Coturnix japonica: one gene and its partner. The protein of the gene in region 1 purifies or fractionates together with the protein of each later gene. This does not show direct contact. Links are inferred from orthologs where the notes say so. Each region holds a gene or a part of one and is shown on either strand. Other genes may lie near its edges.

Region 1 (4,301 bases):
AGAACTTCCCCTAACATCCAACCTAAATCTTCCCTCTTTTAACTTAAAAACCATTTCCCCGTGTCCTGCTATTGTCAGCCATTTCAAAGAGTTTACTCCCCTCCTGGGTGTAAGTTCCCTTCAGGTATTGAAAGGCTGCAATGAGGTCACCCCGCAACCTTCTCTTTTCTAGGCTGAACAAACCCAAAATGGGTATAGAATCACCCATTTCTTTCCAGTCTTCTGCTGAGAGTGAGAACAGATCACCACACACAGTACTGCAAGTGCAAACCAGCAGTGGTTTGATGCCTTAGCCACAGTCAGCAATACTTACCTGGTCTTTGCAGGTTAAGTGTATCTATCTTCTTAATTGCAACATAGATTGAAACTAAAGCTGGCCAGTGTAGATTTTCAACTATTTAAAAGAACTAGTTGAAAAAGACTCCTCCAGCCTCACAGCTACAATCTGGCAAATGTGCCCAAACTATTTCTGCTACTGATGTTTTTTGTTTTAATAACGATCAAAATTTGCACTATGAAGCTAATATATAAAACTTGATATTTACTTATATACAGGCATTAAAGCTTAAGTGATTGCAAATCTCAGGAACCAATTTCAGAGCGGATCAGCTATGCCATGCAAATTCTTTATGTCACAATTAATGCTGTAACAGCAGATGCAGGATGGCCCTGTATCAAACAAAAAATGAATTACAGACAGTAAAAAGATGAACTCGCAGTAAGTAAATTCTAGAGAGTGTTGAAGTCCTAACATCACTGAGCAGAAGTCTGTACTAGATGATAAAAGTCACTGTGCAATCAAAAACACTGAAGAACATCTCAAAAACACTAAAATACCTTAAAGTTTTAACAACTGTCCAGTTTTCCTTGTTGAGCTGAGCTTCATCTTCATCCTGAAAAGCCAGTGGTTCCAATTCTTTGCTATCATTCAGCTTCCATAGTAAAATAACAGCATCTGTTCAAGAAATAATACAAAGCTTCTTTCTTTCCTACCCATTTGTTAACACATTACATTTAGTTCATTGTTCATCTCACATATGACATATGTAGAACAGATCTTAAATTGTCAAGGGGAAGAGAAGCTCCTAGACTGCCTAAACCTTTTATTTTATATGTAATGCTTTAATTAAAAAAAAAATGAAAGAGAGATTCCCAGGAGTAAGATGAGAGTGCAAGGCTTAACTTTCAGTTTGCTTTGGATTAGAGCTGGCTATGGTTCCGTACATAATGCTTTGTGAAAATCTTCTAGTGAAGAAGGTAACACTCAGCTTCATAGGACACACCCCTACCCACTGCTGTCCTTACTGGGACTGAAGAAACCACATCACCCTGGAGAGATAGGGAGAAACACACAGATTCAGCCACAGCTTCTCACTGTGACACTAGGTAATCCACTCAATCTCCCCTTCTGGAAAACACGTGCAGTTATTTATCTTATGCCTGGAAAACAGCTTCTCAGACTCAGGCATTAAAAGTTATTCAGGATCTAACTGCTTGACAAGCATTTACTGCTTACAGTCACTGGGCATGTAGGAATCTGAAACTGAAAGCGTGAGCGAGAGGTATGAACAAGTTTGTGTGTTCGCTTTTCTCCCTTCAATCACCAGATGCACGCAGAGCTTCTTTTCATTAGCATCACTGAGCACTGTTACTCACCATCAGCACCAGATGCGAGGACTTCACCATTGGGAGAGAAGCGCACGACATTGACTGCTTTGGTATGGCGGGCGAGATTGGACAAGAATTCCACAATAGCTTTTCCATCCGGTCCTTTTTCCACTTTCCATATCTAGTTACAAAAGCAATGCAGGTAGTTTTTGGAAACAAGATATAATCTTGTCTCACTACAATAATTCACTATTTACTCCTTGGACCATCATTCTGAACTTATGATCTGAAGCTTCCATAGGTAAAGCTGCAGTGGTACCACAAATTTTCCCTCTTGGAGCTAGAGGCGTGACTATACTGTAGTATAGAATCATCGAATCGCAACCTTAGAAAGGACCTACAAGATCATCGAGTCCAACCATCCTCCCATTACTGTTGCTACCACAAACCACTAAACCATATCTCGTAGCTCCTCATCCAGACGCCCCTTGAACACTGCCAGGGACACCTCAGGTAAGAGTACATGTCATATTTTAGTTACACCAGAAAACATAAGAGGTGTGAGACATACCCGGACAGCCGTGTCCACACCTGCAGAGGCCAGTCGGTTGATCTTCCCATCAGTTCCGTGCTGGAAGTCCAAACTGTACACAGGCTCCTTGTTGTGCCACGCTATCTCACAAGTGATGACCTTCATATCTTCTAAGGAAACCAGAGCAAAACCCTGCCTAAATTCCTCTTCCCTATGACCACGATTCAAATTAACGTGGATATAGCAAGCACTACAGAAACTGACAGGACAGCAGGTTCAGGAAGATCAGGAAGAGCCGTGATTACAGCGTTAGAGGTTACTGGCAGGGCAGGTTACTGGATCGGGGCAGGATCTGCATCTCTCCCCCTTCTGGGGGAGGCCGACCCGACTCCACACAGCCAACAGAAGCCACTCCCGCCCGCCGGAGCTGCAGGGCTTTAACCGCAAGGAAGAAATTAGGCCGCCCGACACGCCGCTCCGTACCGCACACCCACAGAAAGCATCAGACCCATGGCTGCCCCGCATACCTCTCCCCTCAGCCTCAACCGCTGTATCATCCACCCCCATCCCCATCCCCATCCCCTCTACCTGCAACACAGCCCGGCCCAGCTCCAGCGCGGCTCCACGTTTCCCGCCCCGCGCATGCGCGCGGACTCCGGGCGGGCTCGGAGCTGGGCGGGAAGCTTGGCTGTTACCACAGCGCAGCGAGGCGGCTTTCCTCACAAGCTGAGGTAGTTAAGGAAAGCAGGTCACAGTCGTAGTTATTTATGAAGGAAACACGGCACCCCATCACGTGTTTTTGATCCAGCAAATTCAGGTTTATTTTTTTTTTTTCCGTTTTTATTTTTTACAAAAAATACATTTTGACAAATAAAAAGCATTTCCATCAGTCCGCTGCTCTTCCAAGTGTAAACGTACACTGTAATTTTTCCCGTTTTTAATATAGACTTAACGCTATATTTTATGTCATCTACAATAAACTCAGCTACAGAATCTCATGAAACGTAATAAATAACGATGAAGGAATGGAAACTACACAGCAAAAAAAAAAAAAAAAAAAAAAAAAGGAAATCAGAAACTTTTTAAAAGTCATATTTAAAAGTTATATTACAGCCACCTCTCCAAAAAAACCAAACATTCGATTTAGCCACCATGAAAGCAAAGCAATATTGCATTATCCTTATTGGCGTACTGGAACAGAAAGCATCCTGAAATCAAAAGTACTGCCCGCTGGAAGAAAATGAGCTATAACTAAGTGGAACCTAATCCAATCAAATATGGACAGCTAACAGTGCAAAAGCCAAAACCCTTGGCTTTACAAAAAGGACAATTCCTAATAACAAACACTGAATGCAGTTTTGTGGTTTTTTAATCTTTTTTTTTAAAGCAAAAACTGTTTTTCTTGATCACTGTTTGGATGATGAATACCACCAGAGATAAAAGGTGGGCTCTTCACCCACCCTTTATTCCTGATTACCTCAATGGAAAAAGCATGCAGTTGGCTGAAGAGAATACTGTCACCACCGTAATAAAACAAGTTTAATGGCTTAATAATTACTGTGATAATTTAAGAGGGAAAAAAAGAGAGGGACTCATCTATCTTACCTGTAATAGAAGACACCTAAATATTAAGACAGCATAAACAAGTCACATTTGAACATTTTCAGCCTTAGCTTACTTTGTTGTTTAACACCACAGATAAGAAAACACACCTCTCCTTCTCAAAATCTTTGACTAGATAAGCAAGGATTTAGTAGCCTGACCCATTTACATGCAGCATCACCCACTGCGATTGAAAGGTAAGCTTCAGCCTGAGAGACTCACGGGCAGACTGCTTGCTTTATGCTACAACACTTTTTCCTCTGAGGTAAAATACACAAATTAATTGAATACATCAACGAGCCTCTATGCCAATTATTTTTTGCATTGGGCTGCCCTGAAGTAAGGCCTTAAAGCCTCAAGAGGTGGTGTTACAGCAGAGGTCTCCAGGAATCCTACCCTAGCTTTGCATACATTCTCTCCAATGGACCACCAGCTGCTTTTGGCTTAGAAAAATGGCAGGCAAGAGCCGCATGTGAATACTGACCACTTGAACTCATGTGCTGGAACGTACTGGATTTATAAGCCAGTACTGCTGCATTCAATTGAGAAGCATGGGGTA
Region 2 (4,118 bases), on another chromosome or scaffold:
GCACTGGATGCTCATCTGAGGCTTGCTCCCCATTCAGAAGTCACATCCGACAGACAGAGATGGCTTTCAATGGGTAATGACTCCTTCTTTAAGGGGCAATACTAGAACAGAGACATGACGTTGTGATGGAGTGTTACACGATACGTGAGGTAACAAAAGCAGAATTACAGTTCCAGAGCTACACTACCCCCAATAGATCTAAGTTTTGCATTCAAATATGCAATGAAGCAGAATTAGTTACGGTTCCCATGGGAACCATAACTGATTTTTCCTGACCTGCAGCAAAATTCTGAACATAATAGCAAAAATACTGCAGTTGCAGACTCCTTCCCTTCCCTGAGGCCCTCCCTGGGCTGGTAACTGCTCCTCTTCCTCATAATAGGGAAAAGTGGACAATCAATTGCTAACAAAGTTCAGACATTCATCTCGATGTTATCTTTAGAACGGTTTGCCATCATATAATATCAAATAAGCACTGTGCTTCGAAGCCAGGAGTTAAGAAGAGTTTTTAACGTGCCTCAATGTGGGTCAATTAGCAACCATTGGAGTAATTTAAGAACGGGCCTTTTGAGTGCATGATAAGTCCGTTGTTCTGCTATCCAAATGTCCAATTGTATCCACGCATCCTGCTTCAACCTCAGATGCATCTCATGCTATATTCCTTCAGTTCTTCCACACACACACATATATGTGTATATATATATATATATATCGATATATATGTATTTATATATAAAGTAAGTAGTTGAATGGCAATTAAAATCATTTTTCCAGCAACCAACTGCCTTTAGAAGTTCATATTTTAACGTCAAGCAAAGCTTTACAGGGACTTGAGAACCATGAATGCGTCATTAAAATCGTTCAGGAGGGGTTGACATCTGATCATTTCTGTTCCTATGAAATTCAAATAAACTGTTATTTGGTAAAAAAAATGATAATAATAATAATAATAATTTCAAAGGGCATCTTAACTACACCACATCATTTCCCAGTAATGTTATTTTTCTTCTGTATGACCGCCTTTACTCAGTTTGTTCTTCTATTTCTCTGAATAGACTAGAAGAAATCAAACGAATACATGATTTTACTTATTTTTACATAAACGATGAATTACATGGTATCCTGAAAGGAGGCTAAAAAAAATCCTTAGTGCTTTCTACAACAGGACAGACGAAATAGTGCACAGTCCTTGATTTTTTTTGGTATTCCCCAACAAGTCTCTGTAGAAATGGCAGATTTGTTAAAGCCAAAGAGTATGTCCTTTCTAGTAGCCTTACTTTCTGGACCTGAAATTTTGGTCAGAAAAATGCTGGGGAGGGGAGATGTGGATGTATCTTTTTAAATGGAGATGCCAAGTTATTAAGTTTGAAGAAAAATATGTTGATTAAATCCTTACATACTTTAGGTGTGCGTGAACTTACCAATGTAGTTTTATTGGAGGCCATTTTTATTGCAGACTTGCAGAGCTTTTACTAGAAAAATGCATGACAATTAAAAGGAAGTTGACGTTACTCAAAGAAAGGCATCCCAATACAACATGGTCCTTGTTCCAACCCCCATGTATTCACGGCATAGAACATTTACAGGATGGATTAAATCCAGGACAAGAAGCAGCTTACTGCTTTGTCCGGCATAACCCAGTAACACACCTTTACCTAGTCGGGATATATAGTAACGAAGTGGTAGATGGGGGGGAAAAAAGGTTTTTCCAAGGCCTTCTAAGGCACGGAGACGTTTGTAGGGAAAAGGGGGAGGACCATCAGGGATGCTTATTTCCTTCAACCCAACAGAACAGGAGCTCAGATTCCAGCAGTTAACTCAAATATAGCTTTAGACGTGTTAACTGTGGATCCGGCGGGGAGCAGCTCCACGTCTGGAGTGTAACAGAGCACCCACCGCTTTCCAAACTGCGAATATTTCTTTTAATACACAACGCTGCCCTCCGATTCTCAAGTTTGAACGAATTAAAGGCCCTGCACCGACGTGAGCTCGGCTAAGCTGCACACGCTACGTTTAACCTAAGCAAGCGAGTCCAACACCATCCATCCCCTTCACCACCACACCTCTCACACCGACCACCTCTTTAAGCACGTTATCATCCCTGCCCCGTTCCAACTACAAAACTTCGGATCGCACACAGGCCCGAGCACGGCACAGCACACGGCCCTGCAGGGCCCGAGGGCTCAGCCCCCCGCTAGGGGGGGGGGTGGGGGGAGCGCGGCGGAAAGGGCCGAGCGGGAGAGCTCCTCGCGTCCCCATCGGAAAGAGAAAGGGGAAAGAAACCACAAGAACGATCCCGATACCCCCCACCCCCAACCCATAAGGAACGGAGCCCCGCGGGCCGCCGGGAGGGAAGGAGGAAAGGAGGGAGGGAAGGAGGAGGAAGGGGGGGCATCGCCTCGCCATGCCCGCCACCCCCCGCCCCGCCACGTTTCCCCGCCGCGGAGGCCGCTCCGGGCGCTGGCGGGCGGCTTTGTCTGCCCGGCCCGGCCCCGCCGCCCACCCGCCCTCCCTCCTCCCTTCCTCCTCCCTTCCTTCCTTCCTTCCCGCGGGGCCCTCCCGCCATGCCCACTCCTCCCGCGGCCGCCGCGCTATAGGGGTTGGTGGTGGTGGGGGGGGGGGGGGAAAATCGGCCGCACCCCGCGCTCCATCCCCGCGGATGTCGGCGGGGAGTAAACGTGGGAGCGGGGAGTGCCGCCGAGACGAGGAAAGAAGGGGAAAAAGAAGGATACAGACTTCAGTGCCGCTCGGCCGCGCCGCTCCCCCGTCTCCTCCCGGCTCTCGCCCTGCGCGCTCTGAGCGGCGGCGGCAGCGGCGGCATCCGAGGGGCTGAGGGGGGAGGGGAGGGGGCGGGGAGCGGCGCGGGGCGGGACGGGCGGTGCGGGGCGGGTTGGGCCGAGCTGAGCGCGCCGGCGGCTGACGGGGCAGAGCGAACGACGCCGCCTACGCGCCAGCCGCAACCTCCTCCCGTCGTCGCCGCCAGCACAGGAGGGGGCCAAGACGTCTGTCCCACGGGGGGCGAGCGCAGGACCGCGCCAGGCGTCCAAAAGGAGGAAGATGCCTCGCGGAGACAGAGAAAGCGACTGGGTGAGGGAGGCCGGCGGGACGCGGGAGGCAGCCGCCATCATGGCCGCCACCGCCAGGGAGGGAAGGAGGGAGAGGGCCCGGGGAAAGGCCTTTATTGGCGGTTAATGGAGAGCAGAGCGGGGCTGCAGGGGGACAGAAAGCGGGAGCCCCGGTGCCGTGTCGCTGCTGCAGGGCGGCAGCACCCAGCAGCACTCGGCAGCACTCACCCTTTCTCGCCGCGTGTGAGAGGAAAGGGGAGGGCGGGAGGGAGGCGAGCGCTGCGTGGCTGCCGGCGGAACGAGGCCGGGCCCAGCGCTGTCCGCCGGGCACAGCTCCAGGTCAGCGCTGCCTCCCGCCTGGGCCGAGGGTGGAGGGGGAGCAGCTGCGTTGTGTTGTACCGCGCTCCCGCCCGCCGAGGGTGGTGGGGTGCGGGGCCGCTGCGGCTAATTATAACCCCGCACTACGGGCTGCAGCGATCGGCAATTTCCGGAGAGAGGGAAAAAAAAAGAAGGAGCGCTGTGCCAGCGACGCTCGGGCCGCTTCGGGTCTGCTCGGGCCTTTTCGGATCTGTTCGGGCACCTATGAGAGAGCCCTTCCGCTGTCGGAAATTGCCGAGTGGGTTGGGGGAGTCGGTGAGCTCTGCGTCTTTTTTTTCCGGAAATTGCCGAACTTGAGCCGATCGCCTGTTTCGTCGGTGTCGGCTGATTCCGGAAATCGCCGAAGCGAGCCGAACGGGCTGGCGTTCCTCTTTCGGCTGTTTCCGGCGGCTGGCGAAGCGGATAAGCTCGGGCGAGGACGAGTCGTTCGGCTCATTTCGGAGACGGCCATTAGTAACGGCGTCGATGAGTTTTTATTAGGTGCCAAAAACAGAGGGGTATCGCACGGAGCCGCAGCCCCTCGGGACCGATTTAGGCTCTAAAATCCGAGCTATTTTTTTAATTAAAGCCCGGAGGTGCGGCCGGGTAGAGCAGGAGGAGGAGGAGGAGGAGGAGGGCGCTCGTAGTGCGCGGAGCTGAATTTCAAATTACGTAAGAGCTGCGGCAGCCATTGCT

What was found. The genes of interacting proteins can lie anywhere in the genome.
Region 2: the proteins of CHAF1B (region 1) and CBX3 purify together in Homo sapiens (affinity purification with mass spectrometry; 3 studies listed by BioGRID and IntAct, with this or other methods). This does not show direct contact. The link is inferred for Coturnix japonica from reciprocal best matches to the Homo sapiens genes CHAF1B and CBX3.

The regions. Positions count from the first base shown.
Region 1 is NC_029516.1:95,999,388-96,003,688, reverse strand, and holds the start of CHAF1B (chromatin assembly factor 1 subunit B), read right to left. Parts: upstream 2,824-4,301; 5' UTR 2,729-2,823; intron 2,311-2,728; 5' UTR 2,306-2,310; coding exon 2,180-2,305; intron 1,790-2,179; coding exon 1,657-1,789; intron 956-1,656; coding exon 838-955; intron 1-837. UniProt on the Homo sapiens protein: Acts as a component of the histone chaperone complex chromatin assembly factor 1 (CAF-1), which assembles histone octamers onto DNA during replication and repair.
Region 2 is NC_029517.1:29,453,420-29,457,537, reverse strand, and holds the start of CBX3 (chromobox protein homolog 3), read right to left. Parts: upstream 2,850-4,118; 5' UTR 2,737-2,849; intron 1,473-2,736; 5' UTR 1,446-1,472; coding exon 1,422-1,445; intron 1-1,421. Other genes in the region: HNRNPA2B1 (heterogeneous nuclear ribonucleoproteins A2/B1), read left to right, coding at 3,058-3,087.